3 linked regions of the Xenopus tropicalis genome follow. The protein of the gene in region 2 interacts with the protein of the main gene of each other region in a pairwise test. Links are inferred from orthologs where the notes say so. Each region holds a gene or a part of one and is shown on either strand. Other genes may lie near its edges. The genes, in order: csrnp1, tceanc and obi1.

Region 1 (4,246 bases), on a different chromosome or scaffold from region 2:
GTATATAGAGGGACGGTCAGATTGTGACCCTGCTGTTGTTGAACAGTAACCCCCTCGGGTAGTGGGAGTTTTAGTCCAACATTGTCCAAGGATGTAGAAACCCATCAGAACATAAACAGGTCGGCCTGTACCATGAGTCACGGGGGTGCACGCCAAGTAGCTGCCAATTAAATCCACGGAAGCCTGGCGGATACGCAGGGAAGGGACAGCGTGGAAAAGGCCAGTTGCTACAACAATGAGCCCATCTCCTTTCCTGGAGAATTTCCCAAGAGCCGGGCAATGTACCCACTGCCGGAAACAAGCGGGGGGACCTGGGGGGGCACTATGTTCGCTGGCACCTGTACCCCTCTATTGCACCTGCCTGATGCAGCACATACCCAGATGCAGCACACAATCCCCCCCCTCCATAGATAAGAGCATTTCCCACAGAATACAATGCAGGGCAAGGAAGTGGGGGATGGAAGTAATGCAGAAGGCTGGGGGGGGGGGTTAATGGGGGGGAGGAGGAGGAGACGGTGTCTTCTGGCATCTCAGCCAATATGAGTGCAAGGGAGCGGGGGAATCGCCGGGACCCCTGCGGGGAAGTAGTTTAGCCCTCTGGTGCCTGGGAAATATCTGGGCGACTCTCAGCGCCAATAGCCAGGGCTCACGCGTTAATTACGAGGCAATTAGCAGCCAGTCACCTTAACGACACGGGATCCAATAAACACAACAACGGTAATCACAATGATCATAGTAATAATAATGAGATAATAATAATAATAATGAGCCGCACAAGGCAAGCGGCTCAATAAGTAGGAGAATAAAAGCTCATTAAAGGGGAAGTACAGCCCCATGCCAACCTTGGGACAAATACAGTAGAAAATAATACTCAGATATGGGAATTGCAGAATGCACCAGGGTTGGGAGGGGGATCCTTTTGCACTGCTCACTTCCTGTACAGATGGAACAGGAAGTGGGAAATTCACAGCTAAATATTCCCAGCAGATTTAGTTTTAGAAGTGAGCAGCCAAAGTTATAGCCTCAACGTTTGCTCATTTATTGTACTGTACAGCGCTGCGTACATAAGTAGCACTTTATAAATATAGATACACATACATTAGGACTATTAGCCACTTCAGCCATATGATGTTATGAACTACAAGTCCCAGAATCCCCCCCAAAAGCTCTGGGAATGTTAGTCCATATATCCATAGTCCTTATGCCATATATATCAGAACTTAATAACATTAATGACCACTAGGCAATCAGCTAGACAGCAATAGGCTTCAAGCCTTAGTCATCACTTTACAGCACTGCTGCAAACAGAAAAGTGACCTTCGGTCCCAATGAAACTGGCTGCCAAGCAATACCCTGTACTTTCATAGTAACTCAGGTGTTGGCCTTGGGGGGGGGGGGGGGGGTGATACAACTGGAATACACAAGGAGGTGCCAAAATAGGTGGTTATATCCCCTTCAGGCCCATGTTGCAGTGCATTGTGGTCAGGCCAAACGTGTCAAGTCCAGTGAGTGCTCTTAATGGATTAATGCCCCGGTGTGGGGCAGCAGTAACACCCCTCTCTGTCCATTGTCAAACATAAGGGTAACTTCCAGCAAATTCTCCTGTGAGTCACAGCCAATCAGATGACCACCCCCCTTCCTTTCCACTTTTTGCCTAAAATCTGATTTAATTGTAAGCTCTTTAGGGCAGACAGTAGTATGAATGAGTGAGGCCTCACACACACACATCCTATCCACATACCATTGCCCAGAATGATGTAAATTAGTAAATTCCAACTTGTGCTTCCCATAGCACACAAACATAGAAAAGTGTTGATTGTAAAAGTTGCACAACAATAACCCAACATCTGAGACAGTAACTAGAAGCAGCAGCAGATTGGGGGGGGGGGGGGTGTTGTTTATAAGGCAGTATCAAAACAGCAGCCAGGCTGTAACCACAGAGCCATCTTATCAGGAAAGTACACACAAGCAAAGTGCAGGGCTGCCCAAACATTCACATGAGTAAGAGGAGACAGGGGGCAGCTCTGAAGGAGGGGGGGGGGGGTTACATACAATGGGCAGGGATTGGTTCAGTCAGAGCCACAGGGCTTCTATGTGTGTACCCAAACACTTAATATATCTAACAAGGTGCCCTGTCCAGCCCTGCCTGGCACTGTCCCCCAAACAGAAAAACAACCCCCCAAAACAGAACTCATCCAGCCCAATGGCAAATAAGAAAAATCGATACAGGTAGGAAAGCAGTGGGAATACCAAGCAGACCAACAGAACTGGATAGAATGTTTCCAGACAAGGGATAGAATGTTTCCAGACAAGAGATAGAATGTTTCCAGACAAGGGATAGAATGTTTCCAGACAAGGGATAGAATGTTTCCAGACAAGGGATAGAATGTTTCCAGACAAGGGATAGAATGTTTCCAGACAAGGGACAGAATGTTTCCAGACAAGGGACAGAATGTTTCCAGACAAGGGACAGAAGTTCCAGCTGACACTATTGAGCGCCAAACATTTAAAGAGCCCAGGGTGCAGTTCCTTAGTTCCAACACTAGAGGTCGCGCCTTCCCCGCTGAGCGGCGCTGCTCCGGCTGCCCGGGCTGTAGTATCAGTCAGTGTTACGGGCTGGAGCCTTTGTACCCAGCGCTGCACCCTCAGCCTCTCCCAGCGTCAGGCGCCCCTAGTGTGGGAAATAGAGCAAAGCACCCCTGCACCCCCCCAGGCACCGACCCCCTCTCAAACCCCTCTCCCCCATTCATAACTGCCCCGAACCCCGACTTGTGACTGTGCAGCCCCCCAGCCTGTGGCTCACCTTGCCCGGGCTCCTGCTGCACAATGGGGCGCTGGCGGCGCTAGTTGCTGCTCATAGTCCGGCGGTAGCGATGTGCTCCCTGCGCTGCTCCCCCAGCTCTGCCTGCCCGCACCGGGAGCTCTGCCTTTTTCGTCAGTGGAAAAACTCCTGGGCTGGTGACGCAGGCGGTGACAGGGAGCCAGACAGGCCGGGCAGCCAGTGAGTAACCCGGCCCTTCCCTCCGCCCCGGCCCGGCCCTCCGCCTCCTCCTTCCCCCCAGCCCACACTCTGCTTCCTGCGCTCCTTCTCCCATACACTGTGCCCCCTCCCCTGAGGCACAGGGATCGGCATGCTGCCTGCTACTGCTCCCCCATCATTCCTGCACAGCTGCACCTTCCCACTAATTAGCGGGACCCCCCCTGCCTGCTGCACCTTCCCATTAATTAGGGGGACCCCCCCTGCCTGCTGCACCTTCCCATTAATTAGGGGGACCCCCCCTGCCTGCTGCACCTTCCCATTAATTAGGGGGACCCCCCCTGCCTGCTGCACCTTCCCATTAATTAGGGGGACCCCCCCTGCCTGCTGCTCTGTGCCATTAATTAGGGGGACCCCCCCTGCCTGCTGCTCTGTCCCATTAATTAGGGGGACACACTGCCTGCTGCCAGCCATGTATTATAGGAAGCCCCCACACTCACTCACACCCTATTTATTATAGTGAACCCCATACTCATTGCCTATTTATTATAGGGGTCCCCAGATATATTACCCAATACTGCACCCTATTTATTATTGGGGTTCCCAGACACACTGCCCCCTACAACACCCTAATTATAATAAGACCCAAAAGACACTCTGCCTTCTGCACCCCATTTATAATAACCCCCCCCCCCCGCACACTGCTTGGTTATGTATCCCTTTATATCTTTATATTGGGACCCCCAGGCACACTGACTGTTACTGCATCTGATTTATAATAGGGGCTCCTAAACTCACTGCTTGCTCCTGTATCCCATTTATTATAGGGACCCCCAGACACACTGCCTTTATTAATAGGGACCCCCAGACACACTGCCTTTATTAATAGGGACCCCCAGACACACTGCCTTTATTAATAGGGACCCCCAGACACACTGCCTTTATTAATAGGGCCCCCCAGACACACTGCCTTTATTAATAGGGCCCCCCAGGCACACTGCCTTTATTAATAGGGCCCCCCAGGCACACTGCCTTTATTAATAGGGACCCCCAGGCACACTGCCTTTATTAATAGGGCCCCCCAGGCACACTGCCTTTATTAATAGGGCCCCCCAGGCACACTGCCTTTATTAATAGGGACCCCCAGGCACACTGCCTTTATTAATAGGGCCCCCCAGGCACACTGCCTTTATTAATAGGGCCCCCCAGACACACTGCCTTTATTAATAGGACCCCCCAGACACACTGCCTTTATTAATAGGGCCCCCC
Region 2 (2,331 bases):
GGTGAAAGAAATAGCTTCTCCACTCTTCTTAGTAGCTGAGTAATATTAGTTTCTTTAAAGCCTTATAGCTTTAGGGCCCTATTTTATTGGGCAGCCTAAATGAATTGCATTTAAAAGTTCAGATATGTAAGGTCAGTTCATAAAAGAAAAACTTACTGAGAAAGAACTGAGAAACTTAAAAGACCAATATTTAAACACTTCAGCTAGAAAGAGATTTTTTATGTTGCCTTCTTTTTTCCCAACTGTAGAAATGCTACACAAAGACATTAATAAGGAGCTTGTTTCCAGAGCGTTAGAAGTGGAAAATCTTCTGGCTGAGAGAAAATATGAAGACCTTGCATTCCACCTTACTTACTTTGAAAAAGCAGAAGTCACATCAGGAATTCTGCAGGGTACTGATATTGTCAGAGTTGTTTACAGAGTTCTTAAGACCTGTCCAAGAGGAGCATTGAAATTAAAGGCAAAAGTTTTATTGTCCAAATGGAAAAAACTATATAGAAAGTGTTGCCATGAAACTAGCTGCATTTGTGAGCATTGTAGTAAAATATGTGAAAACAAAGAAGGTCCTGAGAAACTAGCTGTCGATATCCAAGATCAAGTTCACAACAGTGAACAAAAAATATTGATTAATAAAAGCACAAGTAGCCCATCTTCTTACAAATTCAATCTAAACAAATCCGATTCAAGCGCACAAGATTGTTATGGTAACCATGAGGAATCTGTTACAGACCATGAAGTTCCTAAGAAAGTAAACGCTGAAGATTTGGCTCTGAGAACCAAATGCACAGAGCTCTTATACCAAGCATTGAGAGAAGACTCGGAATGCCAAGAGAAACTGCAGAATTTAGCAAAGGCAATTGAAGAGAACATCTATAAAATACATGCTGGTAATACCAAGAAATACAGAAACTGCATCAGAAGCAAAATTTCCAATTTGAAAAATCCTAAAAATTCCCATTTAAAGATGCAGATTTTATCCAGAGCTTTAAGTCCTAAGGTATTTGCTGAGATGGGTGTTATGGAAATGGCCTGCGATGAATTAAGGAATCTTAGAGCAAACTACACTGAAACCTGTGTTCAGGAGCATCAGCTACCACAAGGAGTTGATGGTGTTCACACCAATAAGATCAGATGTCGGAGGTGTGATAAGTTTAACTGTACAGTAACAATGATATCTAGGGGGACACTTTTTCTTCCAGGTTGGGTACGAACAGGAAACCCTGATGAGGAGATGATGACATTTGTAATATGTAATGAATGTGGTGAACAATGGTACCACAATAGATGGGTCTGCCTATGAGTTTGCACATTGGACTTGAACTGTGTTTGGCTTTTTTTTTTCTAACAATAGGTAAATGATCAGGACATAAATTATTTATTTTAGTGAACAAGAACTAAGATTATTTTAAAACTTACTTTAAAACTGTTATGTCTACACTTATTTCAGAGTATAACCTTAAAAGTGTCTAATTTATTAATATACAACAGTGCCTCTTTGAATACCATAAGAATAAGAGTTAAAACAGTCTATCCTTGGCAAAGCATTTTTTTAACAAAACTGTCACAACAAATATCTATTTGTGATCAATATTTCATTCACTGAGAATTCCGTAGGGTACTGTGGCAGCCCCCTCAGACATGTATAATAAATGTAGAAATGGAGTATTATTATTATATCTATGGTGCCCAGACATTACTGATATGGGATTCTGTATTTAGTAAAAGTCGATTGAGATAGGGTCTTTGGGTCATTGCATTACAAGACAAAGCATATATTAATATTTAAAAAAACACCACCCATTTCCCAGGCCTCATAATTAATATCTGAATCATTTGTAACTAGATGTAACTAGAACAGTTATCCAGTAATCTGCTGGTCAGCAACTCAAAATCTGCTGGGTTACAACCTACCTTTTGGGCAGTACTGTGCTGTAAAAGGAATATTTAATTTTAATTTAAATAAACAATATACACTGTTAATATAAATTGGCAATATTACTATGAAAAGTAGAAGGTATAAAAAGACATAAAGAGATACATTTGCCACAGTAGACAAAAACAATTGAGCAAAAATCACACACTAAAGTAAATGTTTATTTGTTCAGATATCTGTTAGCTTTGGCTGAAAATCCTGCAGCCCAGTGATCACATTAGGCTGTGGGTGCCTATTTGCTCTGCACGGCTGCCCTCTTGTGATGCATTTAGATTTCCCTGAATTTTGCAGACCACTGCTGTTTTAAAGGCCAACATGCTGTCTTACCTGTATATGTCCAGCCTAAGGAATAAGTAAACTGTTAATAGACTGAGTTAATAGACCGGTATTAGCAGTAT
Region 3 (3,916 bases), about 20 Mb from region 2:
TAAAGATCACTGCAAATAGACTTTGGAGCAGTATGATAAACATGTCTTGGCAAACATCAGGAGTATGCCATCTACCATAATATCTTATTTTGAATGTAAAGTTTGGTGGAGAAGAGATAATTGCCTGGGGCAAGTTACAGTAAACCTTAACATTATGTCATACAGAACAACATTGTAACAATTCTGTGCTTTCTACTTAGTGGCAATAGTTTGGGAGAGGGTTTTTTTTCTGTTTCAGCAACAGAATGCCACCGTGCATAAAGTGAGGTGTACACAGAATTGGCTAAGATGTGAGAGGAAGTACTTTACTAATACACACAGAAAATGAACTGTAAGTCTGGCCTGAATGGAGGCAAATCACACCATCAATATTTTACAACCAGTGGCAAACCTGTTATAAAACCAATAGGAGCACGTGCTATATCTTTAATTTTGGAATGAGATATTGGACAGAAATGTGTCCCTTAATAAGGTCACTCGCAATAAAATGAACCTTTACTATACTCAGTTTAAGATGTTATAGCAAGAACTAATTTCTTGCAATAGCTTGACACTTTAAATACCTGCGTACTTTAAAGGAGTGAAAACTTGAAAGAAAGCATTGTTTTTGTTTAATTAAACTTGTTGATATGTAATGTGAATAAAAATGCCAAAGGTGAAAAAAAAATGGCACATATGATGTTTCTAAGCTGGCTGAAACACACGCAAACAAAAAAGACCTTTTATGGGCTCCATTGACATGGGAGCAGCAGGAGGCAATGGGCTGAAAAGCACACCATGTCATCAGCCTTAGAAACAAGAGTAAGATAAAGCAGGTCACAATGCCAGGAGGTTTGAGGGAGAAGTATACTAAGTGGGTAAAGAAATAGCCAGAGAAATCAAAAAACCAAAAGTTTTATATTTCCCATTATTTAACCACCAAAGACAACAAGGGCGATATCACAGACTATATGTAATTGTAATAGATAATTATATACATTGGCCTAATGTCTCTTATCTGCAAAAAACATTATTTCATTGCAACTTTTTGGAATGCTTAAAAATGTGCTAAAGCTTTAACATTTTCCTTCAAGGATAAAAATAAAGTACTGTATTATTGGCATGATGAAACAGTTACTTCCCATGATGTTTCCATGAAAGAAACAAATTTATGGCTTCATGGTCTTAGGTGGACTTTCACATATGGTATTAAGGAGCTTTCGTTTTGATGCAGGGCCATGCTTATTATTAGTGTAAGATGTACAACAGGAATTACTAGCTAGCTCTGAAGCATTTAAGTTTGTGAGAATATTAGAGGACTCCGTTGTATTTTGATATTTAATCTGTGGCATATCATTAAAAGGCAGCACCAAACTTGAAGTCCTCCCACTTGTGTGAAAATCATTGATGTGAGACTTATCGGAAGATTGACTTTCAAGAGGAAAATGTCCGTCCCTAGTATGTGGATTTGAAAAAAAGGCTTGAAGTCCATTCCCTGGCTGTGAATTTAAATGCATGACAGCATCAGCGGTAACACTGTGGTAATGAAGGCTTTTATTGCCTTCCAATGTTGACATCAAGGAATCCAGATTGTTGACATTATGTAAAAAAGTATCCATGGGACTTTCACTGGTGGTTGTGGTGTGATGCACTTCACCACTGCTTGGTAAAGAAAATGCTTGCAGTATCTGGCCTTCTGATTGCATGTCACTTTCCTTTAGGTTACCTCTCTGATGTTTATGTTTGACTTCACAAGTCATATATTCAGATTTTTGTTCATTAAAAGGTTTTGGTATATTATTATTTGCACTGGAAAAACTATTTGGTTTTCCTTTTTTAGGATAGTCCTCAAAAACTAATTTTCTAAGATAAGTTAAGGGTTTTTTTGCATTCACTTGATTTGATGGAAGAGACAATTTACAGTCCGGACTGTTTAGCTGAAGAGAGCTGAAAGACAGCGATGTGCTTGGACTATTGTACTCATGGATTTCTTTTTCTTTAGTTGGCGTGTAAGTCTCCGTTTGCTTATTTTGTGATGTGATATTATCATGTGGACCCTTCATGCTCTCCTTCCACATGGCAGAACCGCTACTTAGAAACATTTTACGCTCCTTTTGAAAATTAAGGGAGCACCCTGTCTGCGTAAGATATTCTGATCTGTGTACATGTGATTTTTCATTATTTGCAGCTGGGCATGTATCGCTGGAATTCTCTTTATTTATGTCATGTTTTTCAGGTTTCTCACCCATTTGTTCTAGTTTCACTCCTTCATAAAGTTCTGTACAACCTATTTCAGAATTTACAGTGTCTTTATCATGGACTGAATTTTCATTCTGTGAGCTCTCATCCTGTTTCAGATCTGCAGCCCTTTTCAACTGGTCCACCTGCACTTCCAGTTCTTCTATGTACTTATCACTTCTCTCAAGAGCTTTTTTTAGCCTGTTCATTTCCTTTTCATACTGGTCAATCTTAGCATGGAGGGCAGCCACTGTAAATCTACCAAACCTAAAATACAAAAGAGATTAAATGTTATTTAATTCTGATTCAACAGCTTATTGAAATGCATTGTATTAATAATTTAGCACTGCACATAGGGGGGGCTCATTTAGGATTATCTGAGCCTTCAGGCTCAGGCAATCATAAAGGAAACCCTGTGTGAGTGTTCTAATCACGCTGGGTTTTGTGACGGAAAATATTCGGCAATCTTCGGAAGTTTGCCTATACATGCTTATAGAAAGATGAGGCAGCTTTTATGTGCCAAAGTTTTTCTTTGTTCTAAAAGCCTGTTATGGTAAAATTACAGATATTGCCAAACTTTTTTCGGCACAAAACACCAGGTGATTAGTAAACTCACGTGGAGCTTCCTTAAAGATTTCTTGTGACGAAAAACCCAAGCAATCTTAAATATGCCCCTCCATAATATCCATTGATAGAACACTTCAATAAAAAGCCAATGCCCATTGCCATTATATTCATATACAAGCGATACGTAACACACTCACACATATACATTTTTATAGATGTAGCACCCAAAACTTAAATGTATCTAAAAAAAAAAAAAAAAAAAAAGTTTTAAAAGCGTTTTTAGGATATATGCTTCTGAAAATTGATAAGCCGCTCTAAACATTGAAAGTATGTCTTAGTTAGGAGTAGTTCCTTTGTAGTAGGGAGTCATTTGGTGCACTCCCTCACCATACTGTCACTGATGACATGCCCACAATATCTGTACATCCAAAAGGAATTCAGAACTTTAGCAAATAAATAATACACTTATTTACACAGTGCATTCATTATAATCCATAGTAGTGGAAGGTGATGAAGAACCATAAACAAATTCATGTTTTCTAAGAACATTTAAACAAACATTAAGGCAATGCATGCTATAATCTAAATAAGGAATTAGAAATGCTATCAGTTTTTGCATGTCCATTGTTTTAAAGCCCCCTGTGAATAAATCATAGAAAATGTGCATAATTTATGTCTGTAGGGTAATTACAGCTTAGTCATTAATATCTTTAATTAAAATCAGAATGGGAAACATTCTTAATTAATGTTTGTGAAATTATCTTAAGAAGTCTGTGCTTTTTTTCTACCAGTGTGTGAAACTTACAAGACCAATAAATGAGCAGCACTTATAAGCATAAGAAATAATAATAAATGTCATAAATGATGGGTCTAACTATATTGTAAATATTTAGTGTGAATACTTTGCATTCTTTTGATATAAAAATGCCTTGATTATTTCTGGCCTGAAGTTATGACTCTTAAGCAAGTGCAAGCAGGGGAATATCTACTGGTGTCTGAATGGTATAAGGGACAAGTGAGAGTCAGCAGAAAGGCACAGTAATGACACAGACTGCTTCCCCCTAGTTACATTAGTCTGTAATTTGGGTGGAAGGCTGCTGACCTAACATTATCCAGTGCTGGTCCATGGCCA

The links.
Region 1: the proteins of tceanc (region 2) and csrnp1 interact in binary tests that used the Homo sapiens proteins (3 or more experiments, as listed by UniProt). The two-hybrid records come from large-scale screens. The link is inferred for Xenopus tropicalis from reciprocal best matches to the Homo sapiens genes TCEANC and CSRNP1.
Region 3: the proteins of tceanc (region 2) and obi1 interact in binary tests that used the Homo sapiens proteins (3 or more experiments, as listed by UniProt). The two-hybrid records come from large-scale screens. The link is inferred for Xenopus tropicalis from reciprocal best matches to the Homo sapiens genes TCEANC and OBI1.

The regions. Positions count from the first base shown.
Region 1 is NC_030682.2:13,330,448-13,334,693, reverse strand, and holds the start of csrnp1 (cysteine/serine-rich nuclear protein 1), read right to left. Parts: upstream 2,894-4,246; 5' UTR 2,804-2,893; intron 1-2,803. UniProt on the Homo sapiens protein: Binds to the consensus sequence 5'-AGAGTG-3' and has transcriptional activator activity. May have a tumor-suppressor function. May play a role in apoptosis.
Region 2 is NC_030678.2:105,787,259-105,789,589, reverse strand, and holds the end of tceanc (transcription elongation factor A N-terminal and central domain-containing protein), read left to right. Parts: intron 1-248; 5' UTR 249-250; coding exon 251-1,300; 3' UTR 1,301-1,791; downstream 1,792-2,331.
Region 3 is NC_030678.2:125,575,113-125,579,028, reverse strand, and holds the end of obi1 (ORC ubiquitin ligase 1), read right to left. Parts: intron 2,485-3,916; coding exon 1,149-2,484; 3' UTR 619-1,148; downstream 1-618. UniProt on the Homo sapiens protein: E3 ubiquitin ligase essential for DNA replication origin activation during S phase.